Linked DNA regions of Alligator mississippiensis. The protein of the gene in region 1 interacts with the protein of each later gene in a pairwise test. Links are inferred from orthologs where the notes say so. Each region holds a gene or a part of one and is shown on either strand. Other genes may lie near its edges. The genes, in order: ARID5A and SOX5.

What was found.
Region 2: the proteins of ARID5A (region 1) and SOX5 interact in a two-hybrid assay, tested with the Homo sapiens proteins (2 studies listed by BioGRID and IntAct). The two-hybrid records come from large-scale screens. The link is inferred for Alligator mississippiensis from reciprocal best matches to the Homo sapiens genes ARID5A and SOX5.

The regions. Positions count from the first base shown.
Region 1 is NC_081830.1:10,574,303-10,590,118, forward strand, and holds the start of ARID5A (AT-rich interactive domain-containing protein 5A), read right to left. Parts: upstream 5,854-15,816; 5' UTR 5,783-5,853; coding exon 5,758-5,782; intron 5,700-5,757; exon of another isoform or gene 5,466-5,699; intron 3,996-5,465; coding exon 3,856-3,995; intron 1,724-3,855; coding exon 1,555-1,723; intron 1,243-1,554; coding exon 1,190-1,242; intron 813-1,189; coding exon 715-812; intron 325-714; coding exon 198-324; intron 1-197. UniProt on the Homo sapiens protein: DNA-binding protein that may regulate transcription and act as a repressor by binding to AT-rich stretches in the promoter region of target genes.
Region 2 is NC_081827.1:124,852,854-124,868,831, forward strand, and holds the start of SOX5 (transcription factor SOX-5), read left to right. Parts: upstream 1-7,881; 5' UTR 7,882-8,219; intron 8,220-13,104; exon of another isoform or gene 13,105-15,136; intron 15,137-15,978.

The DNA.
Region 1 (15,816 bases):
AGGGATTGGGGCATGGGTGAGATGCGGCCCCTGGGCCCACCGCTCTCCCACCCTAGGCTCGCGGCCAGCTGTTCCTTCTCCCTGCTGCCCCTGGTGTTCTCCTGGCACCCCGATCCCAAGGCTCCATGCATGGGGTGGTCCTGGAGGGGACCCTGGGGATGAGCCCGCGTCAGCTTCTCCCCCCCCAACCATTGCACCTGCTGCCGGCTCTTCTCCTTCTTGGTCCGCGGCTCCTTGGAGACCTTGTACTGTTTCCGGGGCTTGGTGGGGGGCAGTGGCTTGTCATCCTCGCCCTTCAGGTGCCGCACATATGGGAGAACCAGCCTGTCAGGAAAGAAGCACATGCCATCAGGAGGCTGCAGCCGTGGCCAGCACTGGGCCTGGTCCTGCCAGCCAGAGCAGCAGCTGCAACGAAGCCAGGCAACCGGCGCACAACAGCGGCCCATGGCCCTGTGGTCACTCCAGAGGTGGCACTAGATCCTGGTGAGTGCAGCCAGTGGTCCCATCATGGGGTCTGAGGGTGTCACACACTTCCCTGCCAGGCCAGCGTATCAGCCCTCATTGCACCCTTGGGGAAACTGAGGCACAGAGATTCAATGGATGGAGAACAAACAGGGAGACTGGCAGGGCCTAGAGCTGAGACCTGGGGTCCCCCAGGCCATGAGCAAGGGAGTAGATGGGTGAGGTGGCACGTGGGGCAGTAGGGGTTCATACCTCTCATAGTGGCGCCGGGTGCAGGTGGCTGCGCTGGTGCTGCCAGGACTCCCGCCCAGCTCATCATAGACGTTCTTCCAGAGCCGCCTGCCTGTGACCTGTGGTGGGAGGGAGGTGAGGGCCCCAGGATGTGCCCAGCGCCTTCCTCATGTGCCCCTGCCCTAGGGCATGGCTGGACGAGCAGAGCCCTGATCTGGAGGGCGATGACAGCTCAGGAGACCTGCAGCTGGAGCATTGCCAAGTTCTGACTTGCTCTCCCACCCATCCCCAGGGGCCAAAATCAGCTGGGATCTGGCTCCAAGCTTTGGTCCCCATGGCCCCAGCCCAGCTCAGCAAGCCAGGAGAGCCCAGAAGCTCCCCTTGCCTTGCCCCATGGCTGGAGCTCTGCTGCCCCCTATGCCAGGGCCAGAATAAGCAGTCACCAGCTGGGCACAAGGCCCAGAGGATGTGATCCCGGCCCCTCCCCTCCGCTCACCAGCTCGTAGGCACCCAGCTTCTCCACGGCCTTGTAGATCTTCCACAGGTTAACTGGACAGACACACGGACGGGAGCAGAGTGAGGGCAGGGCCCAGGGGAACCATCCTCGTGCCCTAGCCAGAGTACTGCCCCCCCTCAACCTGCTCAGGTGGGCCTGGGGGACCTCAGCCATGCTGGGGGGTTGCAGTGACCACAGGACCCAGCCGCAGCCCTCCCTGGGGTGCTGCCACATCAGGGCCCTGCCCAGGCCAGCCTGGCACAGGCAAGGTGCCACACAGACCTGTGGCTGTCAGTAAAGAAGTCTGGCAGATTTGGGACCAGCAAAGGATTCTGGAAGGCCCCGAGAGGTGCCAGGGGACATACTCTGCTTAAAGCCGAGGTGGGGGATCCTTTCAATGGGCGTGCGACGTTCCTTCATGAATTTGTAGAGGCCAACGAGGAAGGCCTGCTCCTCCTCCTTCTCACCGCTCAAGGCTGCGTCCTCGCCCAGCTCCCCTGCGGGGTCCCTCTGCTCCCCCTCAGAGCCACTGGCCTGCAGAAAGAGACAGCCCCACGCTCAGCCACAGGGGCCGGGAGCTGCCAAAGCCGGAGCGACCTCGGCCCTGGTCCTGGCAGAGCCAAGGGGAACCCAGGAGTCCAAGCCCCAAATCCCCCGTTGCTCTGACCACAAGAGCCTGCCCTACTCCTAAAGCAGCCAGAGAAAGAGAGAACCCAGGAGTCCAGGCTCCGAGTTCCCCATTGCCCTGACAGCAAGAGCGGCCAGAGACAGAGCCCAGGAGTCTGGGCCCCAACCGGCGAGAGCCTGTTGGAAGACCCTGAAGTCCCAGGTGGCAGCCCAGACTCCCAGGGCAAGACATGTCCCATGGCTCCTCAGAAGTCAATACTGCCTTTGCCGTCCTACCTCATCACCAGAGCCCACCCCCATGCCTCTGGGGCCTTTTCCCCTCTCCCAGCCCCATGGCCCACAGCACCCAACCGGCTCTAGCAGAAACAGCATGGCTCCTCCCACCCGGGCAGGTGGCCAAGTTGGTCAGAGCGGAGCACGAACGGGGAACTGTTTCCAGGAAAACAGAATGACCGAGATTCTCGCTCCCTCTCTGCTCCCCCAGCCTCACGCCGGGCTGAAAACACCGCTCCGTGTTTGCTCTGTGCTTTCCGGAGTTAGAAAACTCGCTGCTATTTTAGGGCAAAGCAGCTGCTTGGCTCCGGAGACCCCTTTCTTTGCTTTTTTTTCTCTTCTTCCGCCACTTCTTCTGTGTCTCTTCGCCGCAGGCGGAGACAGACCCAGCCTCTGAGGATGGGGGGAGGTTTGTTTTTTTAAGCCCCAGCAGAGTTGAGATCAGGCAGGGGAAGGGGGGAGAGGGGGCAGAGCTGCTGGGCACATCTCCAGCTTGCTATCCCATTCCTCCCCAAGCCTGCCAGGACCTTGGCAGAGTCCCTGCCCACGTATGCCTGCCCCAGTAGGGCATGGAGAGGGTCTCTTGCCTGGCAGAAGTTGGACTGAGACCCAACAAACTCATCTTGCCCACTGCAGGCCTGGCTTTGCTGGATATCTTTGGCCCTGCCCAGCCACCCCTGCTGTCTCTCATGCCCCATGGGGTGGAGGCAGCTTGAGTTCAGCACTGAGATGCTCTGGCCCCTGGCCTTGAAGGGGAGAAATCTCCCCTCTACCCTGCAACTAACTGGTCAGGGATGACCAGTGCCCCCCTCAGGCCCTATGTGTTTCCTGATGCTAGGAGACAACATGCCAGGAAGACCCCATGGGTCTGGTTCTGAAGGTAAGGATGCCTCTCATAACAGCTCCAGGGCATCCAACCAATTAGATGTCCACAGTGGTGGCACCTCCATGCCAGGCCACGGCCCTATGGAAGGTGCCGGCCGGGGGCTTAGGGTCCAGCCACTGACAGAGGCTCTGGGGAGCTCCCAGCCTCAAGGCAAGACCTGACATGCATCCCAGAACCCATGTACTTTAATGCTGTGATGGGCAGCACCACCCTGGCTGTGCTGTGGTCCAGGGCACCATGGGATGCTCTGTCATGGCTGTGACCCCCCCACACACACTTATGCACGTGAGAGAGAGACTGGCACACTCATTCAGCTGCCACATAGGCAGCAGCCTCCAACAATGGAACTAGAAGCCAGGAAGAGCTGTGGGGGCCTTGTGTGTAGCCAGCAGTCCCCTTTTGGGGTTACCAACACTGGATGTCAGGGTGTAGGGCTGGGTTTCCACACTGTGGGTCATGCCCAGCTGTAAGCCCCAGCCTGGCCTGGAACCCACTGCTCCATGGAGCTCCTCCAACTCTCCCCTGCCTCAATGCCAGGGAGAGGGCACAGGGGGCCAGGGAACAAACACCCACCTGCCCCTGCCCCCATGCTCGCCCTGGGACACATAACTTGTGCTGCTGCCCCTCAGTCCAGAAGGAACAGGACCAACCCTGGCCTGACCCAGTCATGGATGCTGGCGACAAGCAGCCAAGACTGAGGCCAGTAGGAGCCTGCTTGGAGTGGTTCAAGTGCTGTGCATGCAGGCTGGACTAGCCCCAAGCCCTCATGCCGGCTCGCGGGGGCAGCTGAAGACATGGCTCCCCACAACTTCTTCATCTCCCGGCACTCGAGCGCATCCCAGGACCCTCAGAAGGGGATGTGGTGCCCCATCTCACTCACCGCCTGGGGTGTGGGGTCAGTGGGACCTGGGTTCTCTTCAGCATCCAGTGCAGCAGCATCAGCAGCACCTGGCTGAGACACACTCTCCTCCTCCATGGCAGGCGGCACCTTCTTCTGGTGTTTCCCTTTGGGACTAGGGGCTGTGGGGAGGAAGAGGAGACAGGCCACTGAGGAGGGAGCCTGGCAGATGCCTGTCCCCAGTGCAAGGGCAGTTCAGGCCACCCAGCCAGCTGGCAGGGGGTGGGGAGCAGAGAGGGCTCATGCTGGGCTTTCCAAGAATGAGGCTACGTAGCCAACACGTTTCCTGCATTTATCAACAGCACCCTGCACTTTCACTTTCAGGGCGGCTTCCTGGAATTGGGGGAGAGCTGCGCATGTCCCCCCTGCTGCCTCAGCAGCCCCGGCATGGCCAAGGCAGATGCCTCTAGCAGCTGGAGCTGGCCAAGACCCCTCATCCCAACCCCGGCTGACAGTCCCCTAGTTGTACCCCCCCTTGGCCACGGAGCCTCCCAGCTTTGCCTCAGGCCTGCTGTGGGGACCCTGGTGCCACACTGTGACAATGCCAAGATGTTGTCCAGCACCCCCAAGACCCTGCCCCCCTGAGGAGACCCTGCATAGCCCCCTGGCATGGGGGTGGGGAGCACCACGACGCTGATGCCCCACGGGACCCTCACTTGGCTCACATCCCACCAGTGCCGAGACCTCCATCCCTCACACATGGGCCCTGGGGCACCACCATCTCCCCCCCCCCCCGTGCAGACTCAGCCCCCTCCCGGCTTGGAGCCGCAGAGAACGGGCCTCTTGCCAGCCCCCAGGACGTCCTGTTCCCGGCCCTGCCCCGCCCACGGCAGATGGGACATCTCTGCCATCCTTCCCAGCAAGCACTGGGTAGAGGGGAGATCCCAGGCTCCAGCCCTTGCCTCCCAGATCTCAGCACATCAGGGGGGCACAGGGGGATCCAGACAAGTGCCAGATGGGGTGATGCCCCTCTGCCCCGTGTTCCACGTTGGCTTATTAGCAGCAGTCCCCAGCACCGGTCTGGTGATGGAGCTAACAGCCATGGAAAACGGACCTCCTAGAGGCAGGCAGGCAGCGAAAGGGAGTCTGATGTTTCTGCGGCTCAGGCCCGTACCTGAGGGGGGCAAGACAGCCTCAGCCACCAAACCCATGGTGAGCACTTGCCCACAACTGCTCCCACTCTGTGGAGTGGGGGAAACTGAGGCACGGGGAGCTAAGCCACAGCTGAGCTGGGAGAGATGGGACCGATGGCAAGCACCAAGGTGCTGCCAAGTCCTGTGGGGAACCCAGGTATCCTGGACACGCACATGCTTATGCCTGCCCGCGCCCCGGGGATGCAGGCGCTCCCAGCCCAGCTCGTGTGAGTGGGGAGACAAGCAGCCCCCCGGGCCCTGGCACACGCCCAGCGCGGGCGGTACCGGCCGTGACGCCGATTCCGGGAAGCTCCATGCCCCGCCGCCCCATAATGTGCCTCCGCTGGGCACGGCCCCTTCTCCCCGCCAGCCTCCCCGGAGCCCCGGCGAGGGGACGGGGTGCAAGTCCTGCCAGCCCTATCTATGGTGCCCCCTGGCACCGGGACGGAGCTTCCCCACCTCCGGGACGCAGCTGGGGGGCTCCCCCCGCCAGGACTCCACAAGGGGGCCAGGGCGGCGCCCCCCGCCTCCTGCACACAGGGAAACTGAGGCAGGCCCGGCAGCGGAGGGAGACGGGCAGCCCACGCCATGCGCCCGGGAAGCCCCGGCTTCGGCGACACGCCCCCGGGAGGTGCAACTTGGTGCCCGCGTGTACAGCGTCCCGCGCATGCAAGCCCCAGCGTGCAAAGAGCGGGGGCGCACTGCCCTACGTGGGCAATGTCCCGCGTGCGAAGCCCCGCGCGACGCTCACCCCAGCCCCGCGACGCCCGCTCCATCGAGCGCTCCCGAGCCCGACTGAGCTCCGCGCCCGGCCGCCGCGCTGCCCCGCCGGCCCCGGCCGCCCATTGGCCACACGCGCTGCCCGTCTCCGCAGGGCCCCGCCTCCCCGACCCGGGGCACCCTGGGAGTTGTAGTCCCACCTTCGCCCCCTGCTGGAGGGGCACGGCGATCCACGGCCCTGGTCCCTCACCCGGGATCCGGTGGGCGAGTGTCCGCCCCCGGCCAAGCAGGGTCCCAGTCTTCTCCAGTCCCCGCCAGTCAGCCTCCACTCTTCACTTTCACTCATTTCTTGATGCTGGCAAAATCCTACAGCAGTAGTTTTCAACCTTTTTCCATTTGCGGACCTCTTTGGGAATTTCAAACAGAGGCACAGACCCATTTGAATTGTAAGGGTGGATATTCACATACTCTTGATTGATTGCGGTCATCTTTTGCAGGCCCCTTAGCCACAGCCTGCAGCCCCACAGGGCTCCACAGACCACAGGTTGAAAACCACTGTCCTAGAGCCATTCTTCTATGGCAAAGACCTCAGCACGACACCAGTAGGGTAGGAGGGTTGGGACACTGTGGATGAGAAATCACAGTATTTTTCTTGTGAATTGTGTAGGCGTTTGCACACCTGACAGTTCCCCTTCCAGGAGTCTCCCGGGTCCTCCAGCTGAGAATCACTGCTATGGACTTTTCAGGCTCGCTGCTGCTGCCACGGCTGTCAACATCCTGGCTGCTGCTCCCCCTGGACACTCTCGGCTTCCCAAGTCCTTTTTGAGGCCCAGCCAGGGCTCCCAAAGACATCGCGGCTGGCTGCTTCTGACCGGCTCTAGCAGCAGCTTTCTCTAACAGCCTTGTTTCAATTCCCCTTTCTGCTATTTCCGGGCCCTTCTTACGGAGCCAACTGACAGCATTGGAGCCTGTAAATAAATCTGGTTTTTCTCTCCAGCTTCCGCTCCCATGGCAAAAGGGCTTTATTTCAATTAAGACTCATGACTTACTCTCAAAACTGACCGGACAGGTGCAGATGGAGTCTCTTAGCTCAGTAGCAAGTCCAGTGCTGCTAATAAACCTGACACTCTCAATTCGCATCCATAACGGCCGTACCAACAGAGAGAAGGAGTTTGCAAGTTGGTCATTCATGCCATTGCAGCTACATTGAAACTCTGTCTTAACAGCAGCCCAGCAAAGCCTCTGGGTGGACAGAAGGTGCATTGAACTGTAGGGGCGGTGGAGCCGTTGGGGCAGTGGTTTCATGCCTCCTGTATGGCAGTAAAACCCTTGCACCCATGTGGTTACAGCAGTGGGACCAGGTCCATGTTGCTGGAACTACTGTGCCCCCATGGTTCTGCCTCCTGTGGTGTCTCTGCTCAGAAGAGCTGCAGGCGCTGGGACACCGATACCAGCCAGGCTTCCACATGGCCTTAACACGCTGACACTGGTGATTCTCACCTGGGGTTGCCATGATTCCTTTAAAGGGTGCTAACACTGTATACCATTCACAAGAGAAACCCAGAGATTTCCAATAGGAATCAAGTATCCAAGCCCTGTTGGCACCTTGCTGAGGTCTTTGCCAAAGAATCACTCCAGGATTGTTCTGTCATCAAGGAACAAGCAAAAGCAAATATCTGGCATTGTCCAAGCAGAGTCTGCAGTCTAACAAGGTGGGATGTTAGGTCTAACGAGGGGTGTCTTGACTCCTGTCAAAGTTGTGAACCACCAGTTTAAGCAGTCCGTAGGCTCTGTTGTCCAGAAAGTGACTCATAAGAACATAAGAATTGCCATTTACCACCCCTCGCTCTTGTCTATCCATCTATCCACCCTATCCAGTTATCTATTCACCCCATACTCTACCTGTCCATGTATCCACCCCACAGTCTGCTTATGCATCTATCTATCCACCCCACACTCTATCTATCTAATTTATCTATCCACTTCACTCTCTCTCATTAGTCTCTCCTCATATGGAAGCTCCTCCATGCTGCAAAATCCTTGTTGCACTCTGTGCCTTCTCTAGTTCTTCTGTCTCCTTTTGGAAGTGTAGGGACCAGAATTGGGTGCAGTATTCAAGGTGTGGCTGCCCCAGGGATTTATAAAGGGGCATCGGGATACTTTTGTGCCCTCAAACCCTGCCACACACTTACGTGCCCTAGTGAGGAGCCTGGAGAAGGACCCCCAGGGGAGCAGGGTGGGAGGGCTAGGGAGAGGCAGCAGCAGCAGGGTGAGAGAGGGTAGTGTAGGGGCTTTATTGCCCCTTCCAGCTGCAATTTCACTGACTCCAGCTTCAGAGCAGTGTCACTATCATTGCCAAAATCTTTGCTGCAAGGCAGCATGATTTCCTCTCTTTTGGGTTGTGAAGGAAGGGGCTGAAGGAAGAGGGAGAATGGCTCTGAGCACAAGAGAAGGGAGAGGCATGTGAACAAGCTGAGAAGCCCACAGTTGGTTTTTACAACTTCCTCCTCTGTGTTCAAGTCTCCTTTCTGAAGAACTGTCCCCAGAATCCCCTGACGGGACTGATAGGAGAGCAGCAGAGCGAGACCTGAGAGCCGGTGGTAACAAAAGAGACAGAGGTGGAGGGGGAAGCAGGGATGTCCAGGGAGGTGAATGCCCATTGGGGTCGATGGAGAGTGTGGCTGCTACTCAGCAGTGATGGCAGCCTGCATCAGAGGTAGCCAGGCGTGGAACTGTCAGAGCATTGTGGGTTTCAGATTGACCACGCGGGGTTAGCCATGGGCATCTGTGGAAGGCAAGGCAACAGTTCCTCCATCACATGCCAGGCCAACACTGCTCAGCTCCCATGGACTTCAGGAGGAGAAGGGGTTGGGACACCACAAGGCAGGGCCCTCTCCATGGGGCTGAGGTCCGGATAGAGTGGGTACAAAGGCCTGTGGTTTCCAGTCACCCATAGAGTCACAGAGAAGTAGGGCTGGAAGAGACCTGCAGAGGTCACCTCTGGTCCTAACCCTGCCTGAGGTGGGATCAGCCCTGTCCAAACCATCCCAGACACATCCATCATCTAAACTCAACAAAAGTCTACTGGTAACTCTGACACAACACCAGACAACACACCTGAATCGGCCACAGGGAAAGAGGGGGGCTGCAGCACCCAACGTCCTAGTGCTGTACAGGTTGTTAATAAATACTTGAGGGGTCCCAGGCAGAGGCTGTGCCCCCACTACAGAGAAAGGCAAACCCTCCCTGCCCCCCAGTCCATACCAGTCTTATCAGGGAGTAAAATTTCTTCCCGACCCCAATGCAGCATCAGACTCACCCTGAGCGGAAGGTCAAGACCTGCTAGCCAGGGCCCTCCGGCTTTAGCCCCAGCTGGAGCACTGGCACAGCCCTGTCACCATTTCCAGCCTGGGCTGCAGTGAACACCCAATACCTCTGAGGGAGGGTTGAAAACCCCTTGAGACATATAGCAAAAAGGCAGGAAAGGAGCAACCAGCAAAGCCCAGAAGCCTGGGAAATGCCCATAGCAAAGCACAGGTGTCACTATGCCTACATCATCCTTGACCAGTGGCTGTCCAGCCTCTCTCTGAATTCTCCAGTGATGGAGAGGCTGCAGCTCCTCTAGGCATCCATCCTACTGCCTCGCTGCTCTGATAGAGAAGTATTTCCTGATGCTCAAAAGGGCTTTCTCTCTTCTTCACAGCAGCCCATCAAGTCTTTGAAGTTGCCCAGGCCAATGCAGCTCCATAAACAAGACTGTTTGGCCTCTCCCTAGCCCTGTGTGCTACAATTCCATGAGACACCAGCCCCAACTGGCCCACAGCTGGGCAAAGATAGGCCCCGTGAGCACCACCGGAGCCCTCAGTACCTGATACACAACAGCAAACTGTTGTCTGTGGCTTCTGTGAACTCAGGGGCTGGGCAGGGCTCCCTTCCTGGTGACAGGGAAGGGTGCTGGGGGCAGCCTGCTGCTGCAAAGTTAAGTCCTTCTGGCCCTCTCCCCACAGCTTGTTGGAAACTATTCAAAATCTCCAGTGGATATGGTAGGGGCTTTGTAGTATATTCGGCTGTGGGACAGCCCATGTTCATGGTGACTCTTCTGGACTTAGCACCTACAGTATAGTATCAGGGGGCTGGCCTCTTTATTCCCTCCAGCCCAGTGTTTCTAGGTAGCCATGCAAATGAGATGTGGGTTTGAACTGAATGGCTTCACTTTGACTAGCCAAGGCAGCGAACTAAGAGCAGTGTTGTCAGAGGACTTCCAGGCACAGCTCTTGGCAGACTGGGCTCAAAGTTTCCCCCAAAACACCCCATATTTTTAGACATACCATCTGCCTACCCAGCCATCCTTTCCCACATGCCACATCCATCCATCCATCCATCCATCCATCCATCCATCCATCCATCCATCCATCCATCCACCACTGGGAAACGCAGAAAGGAGATAAAAAATACATATTTCCACAGAATCATAACAGTCACCACATGGGCTCCCTGCAGTTGAATGCTCTGGCTGAGTCAAAAGCTGCTGCCAATTTGGCAGGGCCATGACAGGGTTGACCCTCTCTCTGTGATGTTGAAGAGTGGGGCTCTGCCCTTCCTCCAGGCAGCCAGGGAGGATGAAGAGCCCCAGGAGCCATGGAAATCAGCTCCCCTGCTTACAACATGCACCCCAATTCAGGAGGGCTCCCGTCCTTGGGGAAGTGTGTGTGGCCCCTACTTCTGCCCTCCTGGCCTGGGTCCCTGAAACACCCTGGAAAGCAGGTGGCTGAGGGATGGTTTCCCTCCCAAGCCCCATGTTATGAGAGCAGAGGGAGGTCATGGAACAGCCATCCATACACCCTTCCCCATATATCACTTCCCTCCATCAAACCATGCTTTCACCCATCCAATCACAAGAAGATCCAGCTGTCCAGTCACAGAGTCATCCAGTCATTCACCTACCCACCCACACATCCATCCCTCCCTCCCTTCCTCCACTCTCCCCATATACCACATTCATCCACCAGCCATTCTTCTCCATACACCATGTCCACCCATCCCCAGGACAGACACATCCATTAATCCATACTTCCATCCACTCATTCACAAGAAGATCCAGTCACAGAGGCACGCATCCATCCACCCACCTCTCGTGCCAATGCAAGCCGCAGGCATCACAAGAAAGTTTAACTTTTTGTTTGCTCCAGAAAAATTCTAGAGCAATTCTTCTGTGGCAAAGACCTCTGGAAGCCCACAGTGGGGCAGGAGGGTTGGGACAGGCTGTGTTCCTATTGGAAATCTCTTGTGATTGTGATGGATTGCTTCATAGTGCTAGCATTGCCCCATGACAGCCTTGAAAGGATCTCAAGTTACCCCAGGGTGCTGCACCACCCCAGTTAAGAATTGCTAGTCTAGGTACTTGCGTCATATTATGGGATGCAGGATAACTTTTGCAGCTGATGTGCAAAAGGCATCTGCACCCTTCTCCCCTCTTAGGTCTCTCCCCTTCATCTTTCCAATGCAGTCAGGTTCTGGGCTCTCAAAAAGAAGCTGCTGCCTTTTCAGCTCCTTCAATGCAAATAGCCTACGTTTCCCAGAATGCAGCAGGCCCAGGAGGGGCGGGAAGAGCTTTTGAAAAACACAAGAGTGTAATTTCTCGTTAGGGGGGAACAAAAAAAAAAGAAAGAAGAAGAATCAAAGCCTGGAGCGTCATGTCTAGGAATAGACCGGGCGTGGGGCCAAGGTATGACAGCGGATGAGTAATCCACTTAAATCATTGCTCTAAACACCATTCCTTGTAAGAGAATTAAAATATCAGCTTACATCACTGAGCCCAGCGCACGGGATGTGAGAGAGCGCTACGCTGCGGCTGCCAATGCGGGAGATTTTGAGGGCTCTGGGACACAGAGTCCAGAGCAAAAACAACGGCCTGCTCCCGAGCGCAGGCAGAGAAAGCTACGGCACAGACAGGACCAGGACTTTTTCACTATAGTCATAGAGTTGTAGAGAAATTAAGCTGAAGAGAAATTGCAGAGCTGAAGAGAAGTTGTAGAGAAATTAAGTGGCCTGTGGAGGTCACATCTAGTCCAGGCTCCTGCCTGAGACAGGATCAGCCCTGTCCAAACCATCTTGGACAAACCTATTGTCTAACTAACAAAACTGCTGTCAGCCCTGACACAAGACATCTCCCTGAACCTGCCACAGGGAAAGCAGGGGGACTGTGGCGCCCAACATCCTGCTGCTGTAAAGGTAGTTAACAGGCACTCCAGGGATCCCAGGTAGAAGCTGTGCCCTGGCTACAGAGGAAGGCAACTCCTACCCCCAGTCTGTACCAAACTGAGCTGGAGGTAAAATTCCCTCCTGAGCCCATGCAGTGTCAGTCTAGGCCTGAGCAGAGGGACAAGACCCTCTAGCCAGGACCCTCCACAGCCAAGTCGCCAGCCCAGGCACAGCCCAGTCGCCATCCCCAGCCTGGGCTGCAGCCAACACCCAAGGCTTCAAGAGGAAGGGGAAAAAAACCCCTGACACATAGCAGGAAGGGGGCTTCGGTGTGGAATTCCCTCTCAGCCCCTTGTGGCAATTAGCAAAACCTGGGAAATCCCCATAGCAGAGCACAGGCAAAGCTATGCCTCTATCATCCCTGACTGATGGCTGTCCAACCTCCTCTTGATCCCCTCTAGTGATGGAGAGTGCAGACTCCCCGGGCATCTATTCCTCTGCCTCTGTTCTACCAGAGTAGATTTCCCTGAGATCCAGCAGAAACCTGCTTGGCTGCTACTTCGCTGGCCCTGCTGGAGACCAGCCCTGGGATTTATACCTTATTTACTCACTGATCACACACCTCTTGTCCCTGCAATTTAGCAAGCCAAGAAGAGGGGGCAACAAGTCTGATTCTAGACAGTTAAGCAAAGAGCGAGAATCTTCTTCCTTCCCCCATTGTTCTGCCTTACCCAAAACATAGTGGATCTTGTATTTGGGCATGTGGTATGAAAATAAATACAGTTATAGATGAGGGCAAAGAGTGTGAGACTGGCTGTGATAGCTCTTTTCAGGGCTACACCTCAAAGCAGCGTGCTACGGACAAGGGGTGTTGCCCCCAGCTTAGGGGATGGGGAAACTGAGTCAGAGAGAGGGGAAGTCACGGGCAGTGCAGTTGGGGCACCTGCTTCTTCACTGGTGTGGAGATGTACCTGGAAATTAGACATGTCCTGCCCAGACTTGCTCAGAAAGCAAGCATAGGGCCAAAGGGGCTACCATGAGCTGGGCTTGAACCAGCAAAGCCCAGAGCTTAAAGCCCTGCCAGTCCAGTCCCAAAGCTGAGCCATATGTGTGCTGGGGACACAGAAAAGACCCCCGACACGTCAGCCATGACTGCTGCCAGCCCCAACACCCCAGTGCCCATGCATAGGAAACCCCCTGCCACCTGGGTGCAACCTCGCAGCTAGAAAGCTGAGGCTGCCGGAGTGCCCATGCCTGCCTTACACATAATGAGCACCCGTAGACAATGGAGGGGGCAAGGGGGTATGACAACCATCTTCAAACCCTCAAAGAGTGACAACAGAGAGGATGGAGATAGGCTTTTCCCAGACTAGGAGCAATGGCAGGGAAACTGAGGCTGGAGATAAGGAGGAACTTTCTGATCATGATGGGGGTCCAGCAAAGGAACAAGCTTCCTAGAGGGGAGGGGAATTTCCATCCTTGGATGTTTCCAAGAGCAGATTGGATCCAGATTGGCTGGGGTGGTTTAGTCAGGGCTGATCCTGCCCTGCTCACGGGTGTGGATGAGAGGTGACTTCCTGAGGTCCCTTCCAGTCCCCAACTTCCCTCTGATCATATAATCCTAGGCTTATGGATTTGCTTGCTTGGAGACCAGCAGGGCCTTGAGTCAGACCTCAGGAAGGGTCCTCTGCACCCAGACCCTTGTCCATCCTCCCTCCCAACTCCACTGCCTAAAGAGATCACCAGCAAACACCCTCGTTTCTCTCCCACTGCCTGGTCCATCAAGGCCTATAGTGCTCCCGAGATACCAGGGACTCTTCCACTTGTCCCACATGCCAACCACCCACTGGAGAGCACTTGTGGAAGGATTCTGCCTAGTGCTCATAGCCATCGGCTTTACTGGGCAGCTGAGAACATGGCGTGAACTGGCGCAGGTGCTGGAGACCTCCGCTTCCAGCTCTGCCATACCAGGGGCCAATGGGGGTCTCGCAACGCTGTGAAGAGCAAGACCAATGAAGCCAGGGTATAAGGAAAGGGGGTGGACAGGGCTGGACACCAGGGTCGGTTCAAGGGTAATTGGCCCCCTAGGTGAACTGTGTACCTCGTTGCCCCCACCACTTCCAATATAGGGGAAAATAAGAAGTCTAGAATGAACTTTTACAGGAGTTCTAGCTGTGATGGTGGTCAATTTTACTGATCTTTCCTCTGAGATCTTTTCAGAGGTCTTTCTCCTCTTACTGAACCAAAGGTTTTAGACCAAGGTGGAGCTGTAGCTGACCAGGGCTGTTATGTAGAATAACGTTCCTGTTATTTTGTTCTGTATATAATTTTGACGCCCTAGGTGACCACCTACTTCACCTAATGGTTGAACCAGTCCTGCCAGACACTGGCTCCGAGGAGCTTGGGGGGGACACTGTCTCACACTGACTGCCACCTACCCCTCTCACCACTGCCCCCCACTACCACATCCCCCACAAACCCCCTGTGCCCGAAAGTCCCACTGCAGTCACCAGGGCTCAGAGAGGCACAGCCAAGCACCAGGGGTGAGAGACACAGCTGTTTCAGCCACCAGCAAGAGGCCATGTCCCAGCTACCTCATCCTGTCCACCCACCTGCCTGACTGGCACTTACCATGCTAGCAGCAAGCACTCAGCTCCGACAGCCCCAGCCCCACATCATCTCCTGGCGCGCAGAAAGGGCTCTGTGGTTGCTAGCACTACACATGGGGCACAGTGCTCACAGGGCCTGAGTCATCTCCGGAGTGCCTGCCCCCCCCCAGGCCTGAGGGTACATGTATGTGTGTGTGTGTGTGTGTGTGTATGTGCGCACATGTGTGATTAACTCTTTCGTTATGGGAACTGCCTGGGCTTTTTGGGGCTGTTGTAACGGCAGCTTGCTGAATGAGTGTGCTGGACTTCCCCACTGCCACGGGAGGGCGCAGGGGGGGTGCGCTTGTGTGTGTGTGACTACGCCAGAGGGCTGTGACAGAGGCCTGAGTTGTGTGTGTGAGGCGAGGGGCAGAGGGGGATGCCTGGAGGTGTGCACTTGTGTGTGTTTCTGCAGGTGTGCACGCGGGATATCAGGGGACGTGTACATCAGATGCCTCTGTGTATGTGCATGTTGGATGCCTGGGAGCAGATGTGCATATGTCTGGATGCCTGGGTGGGGGAGTGTTTCTGTGTCCCAGATGCCTGAGTTCTGTGTGTGTGTTCACACGCATGTGTCCTGGACACCTGGGTTCTGTGTGTGTGCATGCGCATGTGTGTGTGAACCTGCATGTGTGACTTGAATTCATGGGTTCTCTGTGTGTATGCATGTGCATGTGTGTGTCCTGGATGCCCAAGTTTGCTGTGTGTGTGTGCACACGCATGTGTGTCCTGGACACCTGGGTTCCATGTGTGCACATGTGCATGTGTCCTGGACGCCTGGGTTCCATGTGTGCACACTCTGTTCATATGCACGTGTATCCTGGGCACCTAGGTTCCCTGGCTGTGTGCCTGAGTGTATGCAGATATATCCCAGACATCTGGGGAGGAGTGTAGGGGGGTGCGTACGTAGAGCAGTCACAGTGGATGGAGAGTGCACTGGGATGGATGGGCAGAGAGATAAACAGTATGAGGATGAATAAACGCGAGAGAAAGAAAAGAAACACAATTTGTAGAAGCGGGAAAAGAAAAGCGCGGGCCTGGAGCGGCATAGCGCATGCGCATGAGCCTGCTCCGTTGCCAGGACTGCCCCCCCAACGCCGGCAATCGTGCCGCGAGCGCCGAGCTCTGACCCGCCGTCCCGAACAGCTTCTCCTCACGGGGGGCGGGCCCAAAGCCCCTCGCACCACTTTGGCTTCACCGAACACGATGAGCATGCGCAGCCTACCTCCTCATACCGTACG
Region 2 (15,978 bases), on another chromosome or scaffold:
GTGCTCGAATGGGGAACAGGGGAAAGGCCAGGCACAAGCTACTTCACCCCTGCCAGGCAGACTTTGGCTTGTGTCCCTTGTGGGTGGTGGGGGGGCAGGGGGTTTAAACCCTGCTCCTTGGTTCCAGACGCCAGCCAGGGTTTGCTCTGGGGGGGGGCAGCCTCTGCAATGCTTCTGCCCCCCTGCTGAAGTCCTCTGCAGTCAGGGAGGGGGTTTATACCCCCTCCCTCCCCACCTCATCCTGTGAGCCCCTGACCATGGCATGGCCATGCCCTCCACTTGAGGGGAGGGCAAAACCCTGGCAGGGACTGCCCCCCACCAAGCTGGGAGCAGGAGATAGAAGCGTGGCAGGGGCTTCTCTCCCCCTGTGGCAGACTGGGGCTGAGGTCCTGTGTGAGCCTAAAAGGGGGTTTAAACCCCACTTTCCTTGCCTCAGCATGCTGGCCCCAGGCCAGAGTGACCAGGCGCCCCACTGTCTGTTTGAGTTGGGTGGGCAAAAGCCTGGCAGGGGCTGCCCCCATCAGACCCTGGCTGGGGTCCCGTGTGGACTGGGAAAGGGTACAAACTAAAGGTGCACTGATACATTGGTCCAATATCAGATGGGTACCATGAAGAAAATTGTCTATATTGCATAACGGCCCTATGGGGCTGATAATTTGGCCAATAAATGCCTGTGCTGAGCACAGCTGCAGCGCAGCACGGAGCAGAGCCAGCAGCATGGAGATCTGCCTCCAGCTGGTAAGTCGGAAGGAGAGGCAGGAGAGAAGGGTTGTGTGGGGGCAGATCAATGCCCCCCGTGATGAGGGAGGGGCCAGGCATTGCCCAGGGGGACAGGGGTGCGTGAGACATGGGGTGGAGGCCGCTTCCGCCACTGCTTGCACCCTGGGAGCGTGGGAGGGGATGCTGTATCAGGAATCGGAGGCAGCTGTATTGGACATCGGATTGGTATCAGCCGATACATCCGCGTGGCACAGGGCAGTCTGCAGCTGCAAGGTGGAGCCGAAGCCGGTGCTGCGCAAGGTTTTTCTTGCTGGGGACTGGGCTCAGAGCGGGCTCCAGTGGCACTGGGAAGAGACTGCAGCCACCCCAAAATTTGCCTCAGCTCCACTCCCAACCCCACACCACCTCCCGCTGTAGCCCCATCTGAACACTCTACCTCCACCCATGTGCCAGGAAAAGCCAGGGCTGCTCCGGGTGGTGGTGCGAGACTGAGAGTGGAGCTGCGGCAAAATCTGGGGTGGCTGCAGCCTCCTCCCAGTGCTGCTGGAGTCCACTCCAAGCCCAGCCCCTGGCAAGAAAAGCCCTACGCAGTGCTGGCTCTGGTTCCACCCCATAGCTGCAGCCCGCCCTGCGCTGCGCTGCACAGATCGGGGGAACCCCCCCTGCACTCCAGGAGTGCAGGCAGTGGTGGGAGCCACCCCCATCCCATGAGCCAAGCCTCTGTCCCACGCCCCCTCCAACCTCACTCCCTGCTCAGGGCGGGGCAAAAGCCTCACTGGGGCTGCCCCCCCACCAGGCAGACTCCATGTAGTGTCCCCTGTGGGCCAGGAATGGGATTTAACGCCCCCCCCCCCTCCTTTCAGCATGGTGGTCTGGGCCAGGAGTGGGGGATAACCCTGGCAACCCCCCACCCCAGACAGACCCAGGCTAGGGTCCATGTGGGCCAGGGAGTGGGGTTTAATGTCCCCGTCCCCCTGACCTTAGCATGCTGGTCCCAGGCTGGGGCCTGCCCATGGCCACTCTGCTTGGAGGGCTTCTTTCCTCCTTTCCCTTTGGCAGTGGCTGGCAGGTGCCCAGTAGTACCCCCCAGCTTCTGGCCTCAGCCAGAATGTGGCTGCATTTTCAGAATCGGACGCGAATGTCTGTCTGTTCACTTGCTTTTCAGTTCAATCTATGCAGTTTAGATTAACCTACAAAGATTGCATCAATTCAGCCTCTGGCTTTTTGACTGTCTGTACTTAGCCTTGTTGCCTAGCCAGGGGAAAGTGAGATGTAGTTAGTTCTATGCTCTCGTTCCACCCCCATCCATTTATTAGACTTTCTTAAGGCTCCGGGGGCCTATTTGTCCACTTATACCTTACTTTGCCTCCATGTAAATACACTGGGAATTAGGAACTCTGTTCTTAGGATGCAGCTGCATCATGGAGATACACTTAGGCTAAAAATAGGATTTGGAAAGCTAGTACTTGGGAGTTAATTAGAATTTTACTTTACAGCTTATTGTAGATGTCCAGTGTTGAAAAAGGGTTAAAGAGTCAGCTTTTAGAGAGAACAGTTCTGGTAAATTTTGTGCCTAAGGGAAGCGGGGAGACTGCAGACTGAGGTTCCCCCTTCCTTAGCCTCTGCCCCCTTCTTGCTTAGGAGGATTAAAAAATGAGCTGAGATCTCAGACAAAGTTGAGGAGGGTCTGTGCCAAATTATGGGTTTTAAGATGGGAACCCTGCAACTTCTGTGCTGGACCTGTACATGAAAAATGGAGTGAGGGCATAGTATTAATACAGTTACGGCCTTTTGAGGAAATCTATCCCTGTACTTTTCTTCCATCTGTGTGTGTCCACTTCAGTTATACACATCTTTAATTTTACATGTGTGAGTAATTTCCCTGAAACCAAAAGGTTACTTATGGTACTAGTATTCACAAGTGTTTTCAGAGCCTTACTATGGGCCTATGTTATTAAAAGAGAAAGCAGAGGAGGGTTACACCTTAAAAACTAACTCAGTTTAGCCCTTAAGATGCCACCGGGTCCTGCCTTCTGCTTGACTTCAGACTAACATGACTATTATTTAAAGTGAAAGAAAATATAAAATTGAGCTTCTAACTACTTAGAACAACTAAGAGTAAACAGCTTCACTTTTATTTCTAGTTAGCTTAATTTGTTTTAAGGGAACAGTTTAAACTACCCAAATCTCAGAAGCCCAAAGGTAAAAATATTTTTCCCCATTTTGGTTTTTGAATTAACATAGCTGTTTCTTTAGTTTTTTCCCCCACCTCCCAACCCCAAACACAACACATTTTTCTTTATTTAAAAGAGCCTAAATGTGGTATCTCAACTAAGTGAAGTCTCCCTTATAGTTTTTCTACTGTAACTCATTTTATCTCATGGATATTTAGTCTGAAGACAAGTATCTAAGGAAAAGCTGCATGAATAAACAAGGGGTCCTATATAATGGACAAAACAATTGTGCCATTTAATTAATCAGAATCTTTATTGTGGTTTTATTGAAAAAAGTGCTCAGAAGTCTAGTCGAAATATTATATCTGGGATTCTGTATCAAACTTGTGGGGGAAGGGTACCAGTTCTGCATGAATGCAGATTGTTTCATTTGAAATATTTTAGGGTTTTTTTTCCCCTCACAGGAATCAAGGCAGATGACACGATGATGTTATGATGGAGACGTGAGTAAATACTTACTACGTAAAATCAAGAATGATAAAGTAATAGTCTGGGAGCAGGTGGGATTATTCTATTAACCTGATAGCTCTTACAGCAGTGAGGGCTGATACACTCTCACACTAATATGGAGGTATATTAATTCTCTGGCTGCTTCTTGCTTTCACTTTGATTGTAAGATCATCATAATGGTCCATTGTTACACAAGCATGCTGAAAATGTTAAAGTATTTGGACCTGATTTTGTAGCCATTTACATTGGTCTAAGGTGTATAGAAAACATTACTATATCAGAATCACATTAATACCTACTTTTTAGCCGTGTAAATGACAGTACTAGATCCGTGCCAGTAGAAAAGTCTTGTGTTTTTAGAGGGATAAAACAAAAAGGAATCTGATAGTTAATTTGTTTGCATAGCCTAGCATGCAAGCTTGGCTCATGGGCCCCAATTCTGCAATGTGACATGAACTATGACTGCTGAAATCACTGGATGCCGTGCAGGCATGGGGATTTACCCAAATTGTTTTCCCGCCACCCTCGAAGTACTGAGAGTTTGAATGAAATTGGATGTACATTTCTAACCAACTTCACCAAACCAAAAAATAATAATAAAAAAAAGCTTATGGTAGTGATTGTTTGAAATCTTTTATCCAAATACCCTGGTGTTTGGCAGCTCAGATAAAACTGAAACCTTATTAAAACCAATTCTTCTTTGGGTTTTGAAAACTAAAGTCCATCCAAGTTTTGCAAAAACAGCACTTGGAACAAATGGTATAATTTTTGGTCTGCTGTTTTCTACCCTTCAGTAGGTAAGGCACAATGAAAATCATATTTGACACTTATCTTGTTGTCTGGGGGAGGAATGTTATCCTCTCTCCCAGCTGTATCTATGCTACCTAGTACTCCAGTGTATCTGCTAATGTTATGTACACTTATAAACATTTGGGAGGAGATGGAAATCAGGACACATCTTTTAGGTTCTACTGAAAATAATTTGACTGACTAAACATTTGAAAGCACCCAGCAAAAAAATGGTAACTTGTTTTAACAAAAAAGTAAAATGAGACTTCCTACACAAAAAAAGATGAGGCAGTTGGTGTTCATGATGACATCACTAGTTTGTAAAACTAGAGGCATGGAGGCCTGTGAGACAAAATTACCACATTAATAAAGATAGGATCAAATGCAGCTGGCATCAGGCCAATGGGGCTTTTTGTAACTCAATTTTTTCCACTGAACGTCTTCATACTACTGCAGAAGTGGAAAAAAACACATCCTAGAGAGCGTAATGCAATCTTTACACCTGTTGTTTTTTGGATTCTAAATAAAATGCATTGAGACCCTTCTTTGGCTTTTTCTTTAAATCCTGCCCCTGACAATAATCACTGAATTTCCTTTCTTGCATTCAAATGCTGCTCCGTTGAATGGGCCCACCCAGTGTCATCACCAAGCAAGGAGCTGAGGTGCTTATAGGGAAAATAGGTTCCATCATGTGAGGCTAAAAGGCGGCTGAAAGGGCTGAGCAGTCTAAAGAACATTCAGTCAGAGTAACCGGAAGAGGCCTGACCTAAGGCCCATCATTTATGGCTTTGATTACAGAAAAGGGAGTTGAGCAGCATTGTGTGTCTAGGTTCAGTCCGGCACTGCCCTATGCTGTATGTAGTTATTTTATAGAATTGCACAGTGGGACTAAAATACAACCATTTAGTAATGGGTACCATTATACTCCTACTTTGTAATGGTGTAAATTGTTGCAGCAAAAGCAGGACAATGGTGAATCAGGTCTTCTGTCCATGTCCTTCCCCCACCTGTGCACACTTCCTACTGGGACTTCCTACCTTACAGGTATGGAGAATGCAAGTAAAAAGAGTGAGAAAGCTCTGTCTCTGGCTGTTTTGTTGTTTTTTTCCCTTCTGTTTCCCCACCCCCGAGAGTTTGAAGTCTCATTTATGGGTATTATCCATGCTGCTAATGCTTTCTGTCCTTTTGCATCAAAGAGTAAAAATCATTTAGGGATGCGCACACAGAAAGAGATCATATACAATCAGGCATCCAAGCAGAAAAAAATGATTGCGATGCTCATGAATTGTAAAGGCTGACTTGTTAAGTCCCTGAGAAAGCAGGGAAATTACTGGACTCGTCCCGGTATCAAATATTGGTAGGAGATAAGCCTTCTGTAGCCGAGATTAATAATAACCGAAGTTACTCTTCTTTGAACGATTTGGCTGGGGGCGGGGGGGAGTTCTGCATTTCCCACTGGCTGTCACAAATCAAGTGACACTCGAAGCTGGCCTGCTCAGGCAGTTTATAAAAGCACGTGCTCACTAATCAATTAAAAACAAAAGCCCCTTGCAAGTAAACACAAGAGCAAGCCACAACCCCCCAGCTCTGCTTGCACAGAGCCGACCTACTTGAGTAATAAAAAAGGACGCGGATCGCCTCTTTTCCCCTCCCGCAGCTCCAGGGTGTAGATCTGAAGATGTCTCTCTCTGTCTCCCCCCCGCCCCGTGAATGCATCGGGAGTGGCGTGCGCGGGCGGCCAGAAGTCGGCTTGTCTGCGAAGTGGGGCTTAGCCCAGCCCGAAAGGGAGAGCGGAGCGGGGGAAATCATCCACACGCGCAGCAAGCGCACGCCCCGCCGCCGAGCCAGCCGCCAGCCTCAATTGTAGTCCTGCTGGGATTAAGAGTAAACAGTATGTGGTCATTGATCTCGGGGTCGTGGTGTTGCACTCTGGGAAAGGCTGGGGGTGCCTGGAGACATGGCTGCGCTCAACTGAGGCGCTTCTGAAGAAAGATGACAGAAAGAAGGGGGTGGGGGGAGGGCATTCACAGGGGGGGAGAGACTAGGAGAGCTAGGGATCAGAGGGTGCCCCACCCCCCCGGCCCGCCACCGTCACCGCACAGGCGCCCGGCCGGGCCCCTGGAGAGCGGACAGGCACAGGGGTGTGTGTGTGTGTGTGAGAGAGAGAGAGAGAGTGTTTTGGGGGAGAAGTGACAGGAGGAGATTCTCTCCTTTCCTCGGGAGGGCGGGATGAGAGAGACTTTGGGGGCATAGGTGACAGGTTGAGATTGTCCCCCTTTGCGTGCGCGTTTGTGAGAGAGTTTGGGAAGTAAGGTGACAGGTAGAGATTGTCCCCTTTGCTTGCGTGGAGGGTGTGTGTGAGACGGAGGGAGAGAGTGTGCGTTTGGGGGGAGAGATGGCACGTAAAGATTGTCCCTTTTGCTTGGGGGTGTGTGCGTGTGAGAGAGAGAGAGAGAGAGTTTGGGGGGAGAGGTGACAGGTAAAGATTGTTCCCTTTGTTTGGGTGGAGTGTGTGTGTTTTAGCCTGCTCTGGGTGGAAGAAAAACAAATCCGCTGCTGTTTCCAGTACATGAAAGTCAGCGTAGAGGAGATTGCTGGGACCTGCTCGTGGGTTGCGCTGTGCTCCAAGTCTGGGCACACTTTCATCACCCTGCATTGCCGAAGGGCTCCCGCCTGCTGATGTAACTTTTGGGCAGGACTTCTCTGTGTGCCGAGGGAAGCCGATGGGCTCTTTCTCTCCCTGGAGCAAACCTATTAGCGTGGATGAGCCCCACGGTGACTCTCAGATGCTTTTAAAACCGCCACCTTCTTAAAGAGTGCGTGGCTGTTTCAGCTCCGATTCATTCCCCCCCCTCCCCCCTTTCCCGCCGGCGCCTATTGCACTGGTTTCTCCCCTGCTTGTGAGAGTGGGGAGGCGAAAGAACAATAAAAGAAGCTCAGACTACTTCACTTACTAGCAGCTTCCAAAAAATAAGGGGGGGGGGGGAGAAGTCGGGATCAGGAAAGTCTCCAGCCCAGGGATAAGGAAGATTAAGAAGGGAAGCTGAAGGCTCCCCAGAAGCAGGAGGCGGCCGTGCTCTCCTGTCCTGGGGGTCACTCCTCGCGCCGTGCGCCTTTCCAGCGCGCTGACAGGGGCTCGCCTGGCCAGGGGCTCCTGTGGACACCCCCCCCCCCCCGAACACTACTAGAACCACGGCCAATACGCGCACACACCACCAGCACCCCCAGCAACAACCAACACACACACACCCCAGCACACACCCCCAACACATGCACCAGCACTCACACCAGCACGTACACATGCAACACACACACCCCCTCCACCCCCAGCAACAACACACACGGTCCACCAGCACACACCCCACCACCCCCAGCACTCCCCCCCGCATCAACAACATACACACACCACCAACACCCCGCAGCAACAGCACCCCCCAACTCCCGGCTGTTTGCTCGCAGCGAGGAAAGGCGGGGGCCGGGCCGTCCCGGGACTCGGCCGCCCGTGGCGCGCAGTGCGGTGCGGTGCGGCGCGAAGTTGCGGGGCGCGCGGGGGGTAGAGCCGCAGCCCGGCACTGGCTTGTCCGCCCGGCCCAGCGCGGCCGCCCGCAATGGGCAGAGCCGGCTCGCAGCGGGGCGGGCGAGGCGGGGCGGCGCGAGGGGGGCTCCGGGAAGGAGGTCAGGGTTTGTTTAGGAGAGATCAGAAGGGAGCTGAAGTGCGAGCTCCCCGCTCCCAGGGTGTCGGAGGTGGCTGGAGACTGCACAGAAAAGCTTCTCCTCCCCCATTGTTCCCACTGTCTCTCCCTCTCTTTCTGTGGGGTTTTTTTTGCCTTTTGTTATTTGCACTCGCATTGTGGTGTTTGTCTCTGAAGCCGCCTCATGACCAGCGCAGGGATTTCACCTCGTCCTTGAGGCACAGGCGCGCACGCAGAGCGGGAGAAGGGGCCGAGCGGCAGCCCGCGCCCCCTCTGCCCAGCCCCGAGCATCCTCCCGCCTCCCTCTCGGGCCAGGACACGCTCCGCACGGCGGGTAGGTGCGCGGCCGGCTCCGGGCCAACTTCGGGGGCAGGGCCGGGGGCCCCGGGCGGCTGCGGGGGGCTGGCAAAGTTTGGAGCAACTTGTCCCGCCTTTTCCCCCGGCCCCGATCCCCCCCTCGGATCCGTCCCAGCGGCGCGCTGCAGGGCGAGGAGCAGAGCCGGTCCCCGAGCTGGGCTGGGCTGGGTTGGGCTGGGCTGCGGGCCCCGGAGACAAGAGGTGCGGAAGGGAAGAGAAGGGAAGGGGGGGGGGAAGAAACCAGCCCCTCTACCAATCAGTGCGCGGAGCCCTCCCCCAGCCCGACTCTGCCTGGTCCAGGCACTGATGGCCGGAAAGTTAAGGGACTTGACTCTAGAGGGGGAGGTGATGAGCAGCCCCCGGGGAGAGCGCCAATAGTCACCCGCGGGTAAGAAGTGTGGGAATCCTCCCCTACGAGGGACCTGCTTCCTTAGTACTTAGAAATAAGGGCCCTCAGCCTGGCTGTGCTATGCTTTGCTTTTTTGGTTTAACCCCCACCAGCAGCCCAAGGCAACTGAGGCATGTGGGAGGCATGCAGGCGGTCAGCACATCCATCAGCAGAAAAGAAGAAAGGGGCTTGAGCAGGATTTTAGGCAAGCGGGGGGGGGGGGCAACCACTGAGGAGCTAGATGCCAAGCAGATTGGAGGTCCTAGGTTGTTTCTGATGTTAGGCAAACCAAATGTTAGCCTTAGACGCTTTTGAAAATTTGGGGATGGATTTTTAGAAGGATGCCTCCCCCTTGCTTTCAAGGAATATGTTCAGTTTTTTGCTTTATTCACATCCAGGGAAGACACCTTATTCCAGGTGCAGAGCAACAGAACACAGCGGCCTGGTTCTTCCTCCTGTGTTAAACTCGGCTCGCAGCCCACTACTTAGCTAAAGTCAGCAGCTGAGGTTTAAAAATCAGATTCTTCTGAGCCAGGGGCATTTCTTGGGCTTTGTACAGCAAGTGATAGCCAAGTATTGTAGCCCCAGAAACTTGCTTGATGAAGGATACTGTATCTGTCATGATTTCTGTAGCTCCTTAATCCTTCCCAGTGGTAGAAAATATCATTGCCTCAAAGGTAGATCCTTCTTCCTGTAAACTGTGCTGTTTACAAATATGGAACTAGGATTGAAGGGGTAAAGTTTTGTGTTTTGAGATCCAGCAAGGTTACAGCCACAATGTTTGTTTTGTAAAGTTCTTCTGTGCTCATAAAAGGGAAAGGCTGGCATCATTTTGTTCAATGGATAGCATGTATATTACTACATAATTTGACAATGAAAACCTGGCTATTATGCATGGAAATCTTATATCAGAGATTTTTTGTTGTTGCATTTAAACTCACTTGGTTGAGCGCTACACTGTGTGCGACACAGAACTTGAAAGCCACAAACATCTCTTGTAAACAAACTGACATTTGAGATGGATTGGCTATTTCAAATTAACTCCATTCAACTACATGTATGTGCAGATGCATTCAGTTTAGTCTAGCATAAGTTTTTATAAATGTTGGAAGCTAATACATGCCTTTGGAAAGCAAATATAAGCATATACATATTCCCTATATAATGTTATGCTTCTGTTTACAGAAGTTTTCCTAGGCCATACTTGTTCTGCTGTCATGATCTTGTAGTAGCAGGCAAGAATCACTCAGTAATTCTTTAGATGTTTACTAGTAAACACTGAAATGGTAAGGCATATGTCTGAGATGCATACATTTAGGATAATATGCTGGTGCCTAACCAGCATATTATCCTATATTATCCTATATTATCCTATATATATATATATATATATTATCCTATATATTATCCTATATTACTGCATCTTCGTATTTTGTATGACTTGCCCCGCTCGTTTAGGCTGATCAGCATTGTTAAGCTGCCAGAGATTTAGCTCATATTGATAATTTCTTAATGTTCAGGATTGGGAAACAGTTCTTCCCAGATAGTTATCCTAAAGTTCTACAATTAGGCCTGAAATAAGTTTACAAGTAACTTTAAATACTAGTATGGAAAGTATGAAAGAAACAAAGCACCAATAAGTGTGGGTTGGTGGTGCTGGCAGTATCCTAATGCAGTATGTGTAAGAGGAGCTTTGCCTCTGCCGTAGTGCTCATACCTATATAAAATCCTGTGATGTAGATTTATGGATAAATTGAAAAACAGCATTGTGAAACATGTTCTAAGATTCAAGAGAAAGTAATGAGTGATCCTTCCAAAAAATACAGCAGAATGCTACAATATTGCCAAAACACTGCAGTGATGTTGGTGGAAGCCATGATATTCTTTGACCATTATAAATAGATTAGTATTATTATAAGAATTCTTTTCTCATTAGCAGTGAAGTATGTTTTCCTCTCTTCTACATACAAACAATTTGGTGTTCATTGAACGGGCCAGGAAATACTCCCACTGATGGCAATGGGAGCCATGCCTGCAAAAGTACTATATAACTGGGCCTCAGGCTGTTGGAGTGACCTTTTACAATGTGTAGGTTTTGTTTAATATACTATAAACTCTCCTTTTGTAATTTTGGTTTTATTTCCTTCCACTTTTTTCTTTCTCTCTCGAAGACATTAGAGATTGTTGTATGTGGTAATTTTCAGATCCATATAGGTTTACACAAGGGTTTGGTTCAAGGTTGAACCAAAGGTTAATTCAGATTCACGGTACTGAAATATTGCAAGTTGTTGGAGACTTCTACCTCTTTTGGGTCTGTACCAGTTCCAGAAAAGTTTCTTTCATATTAGTTAATAGACCAAGTTCTAAGATCAAGAAATTTGAATCCAAACCTGTCTCCCCTCTTGAATTTCAGAATGGAAGAGAGACCTCAGGACTCAGACTTAATGATCTGGTCTGGGAAAATCTTTATGATGTTTTTTATTTCCTTTCATTGGCATTTTCTATAGAGGGTGAGAATGCAGCTTGCTTAGAGAAGAGGAGTATGTTTTTGCACTTATGCACAGGCTGCTAAAGGAGCTGAAGTCCCATAAGTCACTTGCTACATTGAGAGGCACCTTAGAAACATGTAAGATTAACTCATTCTTGTAGTATTTTGCCCTTGTATGCCTCATGCCTCTTTAAGGGTAAGGCATATATATGTACAGTGTGTGTTTATAAGCAACATGCATAGTCTGCACATACTTTGCTTTTTAGTTGTGGAGAGCATATGCCTCCTTAGTGTCCAAAGAGGGTCTTGTCTAATATTTTTGACAGCTTTATTTTCTGTCAAATCCAACCTGTCTCTCTCTTTCTGTGGATCACAAACATGAAATAAGACTCAGGTAATCCACAATGGGATCTATTAGTATTGGCCATTTTCAGAGGCACAAAGGACAATTACTTTCTTTTCCTACTGATCTCCTGCTGGCTTTCCATCCACTTGGGAGGCAGGTGATTGTAAGAATGCTATTTTGCCCAGTACATCAAATACCTACAGAATCTTTGCTTGCTAAAGTTACTGTTCCTAAACCCAGTGGCAACACCAGAAATCGAACTTGAGTGGCCCTGAGCACCATCTCCTACTGTGAATGAGTCACATAGTCATCAGCACTTTGCAGAGTTAAATTTTATCCACTGGCCCCGACAGTGCTGGCAATTGTCAGCTAAAAGACCCTTTAGTGAATTGTCCCTTAACAGAGAGTCTTTCCCCCCTCCTTTGTTGTAGTTTTAATTTAAAAAATATCCTGGAAAGGCTGGTGGCAAAGCAAAAGAGCATTCCTTTGCCCAAATTTTCAGAGATTAAGGAATTAGGAAACAAACTAAGGAATATGGGTCAAAGGTTACTTTTTTGAAGGTTATTTTTAAAGAATAGCACCTCCCAGAATCTCATAGAGCTCACAGTGCGGAATCATACATTGGCATATAGGGGGTTTGTGACCCATTGTACAATACTGGGGAAGAGTCTGTCATGTTTTGGTTTGATATCAGATGCCGGAGATTTGGCACCAGAGAACCTGATGCTGCTAGTTACTGAGCATTTTTTAAGAGATGCTGCACACCTAAACTCTCCATCGAAGATGTTCATTATCTCCTGGGAGGTACTCAGAACTTGACAGAGTAAGGAGCATAATAGAGAATGAGCACTTGGTTGCCTTACTAGGGAAATACTTACGTTATTGGGCCAGAGTCGAGCTGTAATTAGGGGCCTGCAGATGTTCAGAGTTACCCCGGTTTAACTTTAAAATGTTTTAAAAACAAATTTAGTTAAACTGCTACAAAATGCAGCACAGTCACTCTTTAAATCTAATTTAAACCTCTTATTTATGTATTCAATTTCTTTACTCAGTTAAGATAAACCATTGACTGGTTTAAATTAGATTAAGAGTGTCTACACTATGTTTTGCAGCTGTTCATGTAAATCAGTTAAAATCATACCTTTAGTTAAGCTGATCCAGGTTGGAACAAAGTTTATGGGTTCTGCATCTTTAACTGCTATCAAACAAAAACTGCTAATTGATGTGAGTAGAAGTAAGTTTTCAGTTTTTGGTAGTCTTGTCTGATGTTTTTGATGTAATCAAAAACTATGGGAAGTATTTGTAGTATCTTGGCTAACTAAGTGTTTATTCAATCAGAACATATGGATTAAAAAGTTAATTTACAATCTTTTTAAAAAATTAAAATACCTGTGACTATTTTAATGTCTCTATTTAGTGAATGGAAGTGTTGTTTCTCTCAGCAGGGAATGCCATTTTTAATGATACAGCAACTTACCTCCTAGCAGGAGGCAATCCTCACGAGGCAGATGTAAACTGAGAAGAATTCAGGACCCATCAAAAACAGTGGAAATCAATTTCAATGGGATGTTTAAGGCAGGACCTAATTTCTGTATTTTTGGGTTGACATGCTTTTCATGTAACAGGTGTCTAAATTAATCTGTAATCTGTTTTATTCACAGAGGTGATTTGTTTGAATATTAGAATTTAATTCTGGCACCAAAAGTCCCACTAACATTAGTGTTAGATTTTGATGCTTTAATAGTATATGTGGAGGCAGGAACATATATACCCACATATTAGTCTCCTGTGTATAATGGACATAATTTTAAAATGGGGTTGGTGATTTCAGGTGCCTTGGTTTTCTTGATGCCCAGTTTGATATACCTTACAGTTTCCTAATTTTAAAATGACCGATATTTAGTACATTTGAAAATCAACCTATCTTAAAGTAAGTCAAGAAGGGTGCAAAAATCACTAGATCCTTTTGAAACTGGCCAATATGTGCACACATAATGTGCATGTTTGTGTAAGTATGGGTACATATTAAGTGTTTTGCCTGGATAAGGACATCAGGATCAGATTTTACCAGTCACAAAGGTGATACTGATTTTACCAGTATCACAAAGGTGATACTGTAGTGCTTATCAGTCAAACCACAAAGGTAATATTGCTTACCTGTAACCACAATTTACTTCCTGTGAAGGGTACACAGGCTCCTGTATTTAAGAATCATAGATAATTGATGTGAAAGATGCAATATTCCACGTTGCTCATCCACATCTGGAAGAAGATTGTGTGTTTAGTATATGGCAGATAGTGGGTCTGAAGCTGAGTCTTTTATAAGTCAAATGTAAACTGCCATTAGATGCAAGACCATCCTTGTTCTGTGGAACAAGCATTGACCACAGTCATGTCTTTGAGGGTGAGAGAGGATGTATATGTGAATCATGCTGCATACATTTTGCTGTGGTAAAGATTAATGAGTTCAAGGTAATTAATTAGCTCCAGTTTACAGGCATGAGGCCTGGCCCATGCATTATGTAGTCTCAAATTTAGGATGAGGTGTTTTTTTTTTTTGTTCTCAATGCAAACTTGTTGATGACATCAGTTTCAGGCCTGCTGCCAATAACCAACAAAGATAGAGTTGGAGTGGAAATTATTGAGGTAGTTGTCAGTTCTATAAAACAGTTTTGAATTGAAACCTGAAATTATATATAATGAGGCATTCCTATAAACAGGGTTGCCTTAGGTGAGTAACATTTTGGACGGTATGATGGAAGTTCTGCAATTGTAGGGGAATAATATTAAGTCTCATGAGGCAGATTACAAATGAAGGAATGCTGATGCATATATACAAATATATATATGTGAATTTAGTGCTTGTGAAAGGCAATTGATAGACAGTTCTGGAAACTGAAGGTCTCTATCCCCTAGAAAGGTGTAACAGATAGCAACAATGCAAAATTGTGTGCACTGCATTGTCACTGGGACCTCAACATTTCTCTGTAGAGAGCTCCTCGAGGAATAAGATGACACAGTCTACCCCAGGGGTCAGCAGTGTTTTTGGGCAGAGTGCCCCAAAACACCTGCAGGATTGACTTGTAAGATCTTGGCGTGCCAGGGGCAGATGGCAGGGGAGCTGTGAGGTGCCTGATTCTTGTCATGGCAGCACAGCCCCCGCCCCTTCCCCACCATCTGCCCCATGGCGCACATGCCAAGCAAAATGCCTTTGCATGCTACGCTCTGGCACCTGTTCCAGGGGTTGCTTACTCCTGGCCTACCCATTCAGGTCCTGATCCAGTAAAACACTTATGCATATGCTTTTATAGAAGCATGAGTAGAAGGATTGCTCACTAGAAGTTTAACACATTTGAGTGATGTGTTGGGTAGAGGACTTAATTCTTGAATTTTCTGTTGATACTGCTAATGAGAGAACTGATTTTTGTGGTTTCTGTTATTTGATGTCTTTTCTGTACCAGGAACCATAATGAGACCACCATCTCATTTCACACAGGTCACCAAGAAGCCTCAGATGATAGAGATATGCGATACGCTTTAATGAGGCAGAAGAAGGTGCGGGGAGGAGGAGGAGAACAAAGTCTTGCACTTTGCAAGCAAGAATGTTCCCTGTTTATCACTCAAACCCTGGTGCTTTGGATTGGTAGAGGAAGTGGCTTCTACTTGGAAGCTGTAAGTTGAAAAATGTATAAAAGAACAGAAAAGAAGAAAAAGATTCAAACGCTAATATGTGCACACATGTGTATGTGAGCATGTGTGTGCGCACACACACATGCACACAATTCTGCTAATGTTAATGGTATTTTATTTGAATTTGAGACACTTCTCCCAATATGTATATATTTTAGAATAATATTTGATTTGATTAAAACATCATTACTATCAGCAGGAATACATGTATAAATCCTTGCAGAATATGTTGAAAGTGAAGCATAAAGAATTAGCATTCAGAGACTTTAGTAACATTTCCACTGCACAAAGTTGTAAAACTTTCTGAAATCCTTGCAGGTGTTTTATTTCTACTGTCCTTTATTTTGGAATTCTATTCCTTTGCCCTTGTTAGGAGGCAAAATATTTGCAATTGTCTTTTTATTTTTTCTTGATTATATTTTAGTTTATTTTATGAAATATTTACAAATCTGAGTTCATTCTGTAGTCCTGGCTGGTTATTTTTCCGAAAGCCAATATTGTGTCTATGACATAAACCATGTAGTTCATGAACAAGCCAAAGTTCAGTTAATTTCAGTGAAAATGACACAGTTTATGGGCCTAATCCTCAACCTGCTAAAGTCAGTGGGAGTTCTGCTATTAATTTAAGTGGTCACATGAACAGACCTGATCCATCCCAAATTATATGTAGGGGGGATCAAGTCTTATCTCTGCCTGCAATTTTTGAAGGAGACTAAGGGAGTTCGGCATTCACTTTCCTCTGAAATTCAGTTGATTTGAAGGCATACTTTCCTTAGTAGGAAAATCTCATCCTCCCAGTGAAATTAGTGGAAGATTTGCCATTG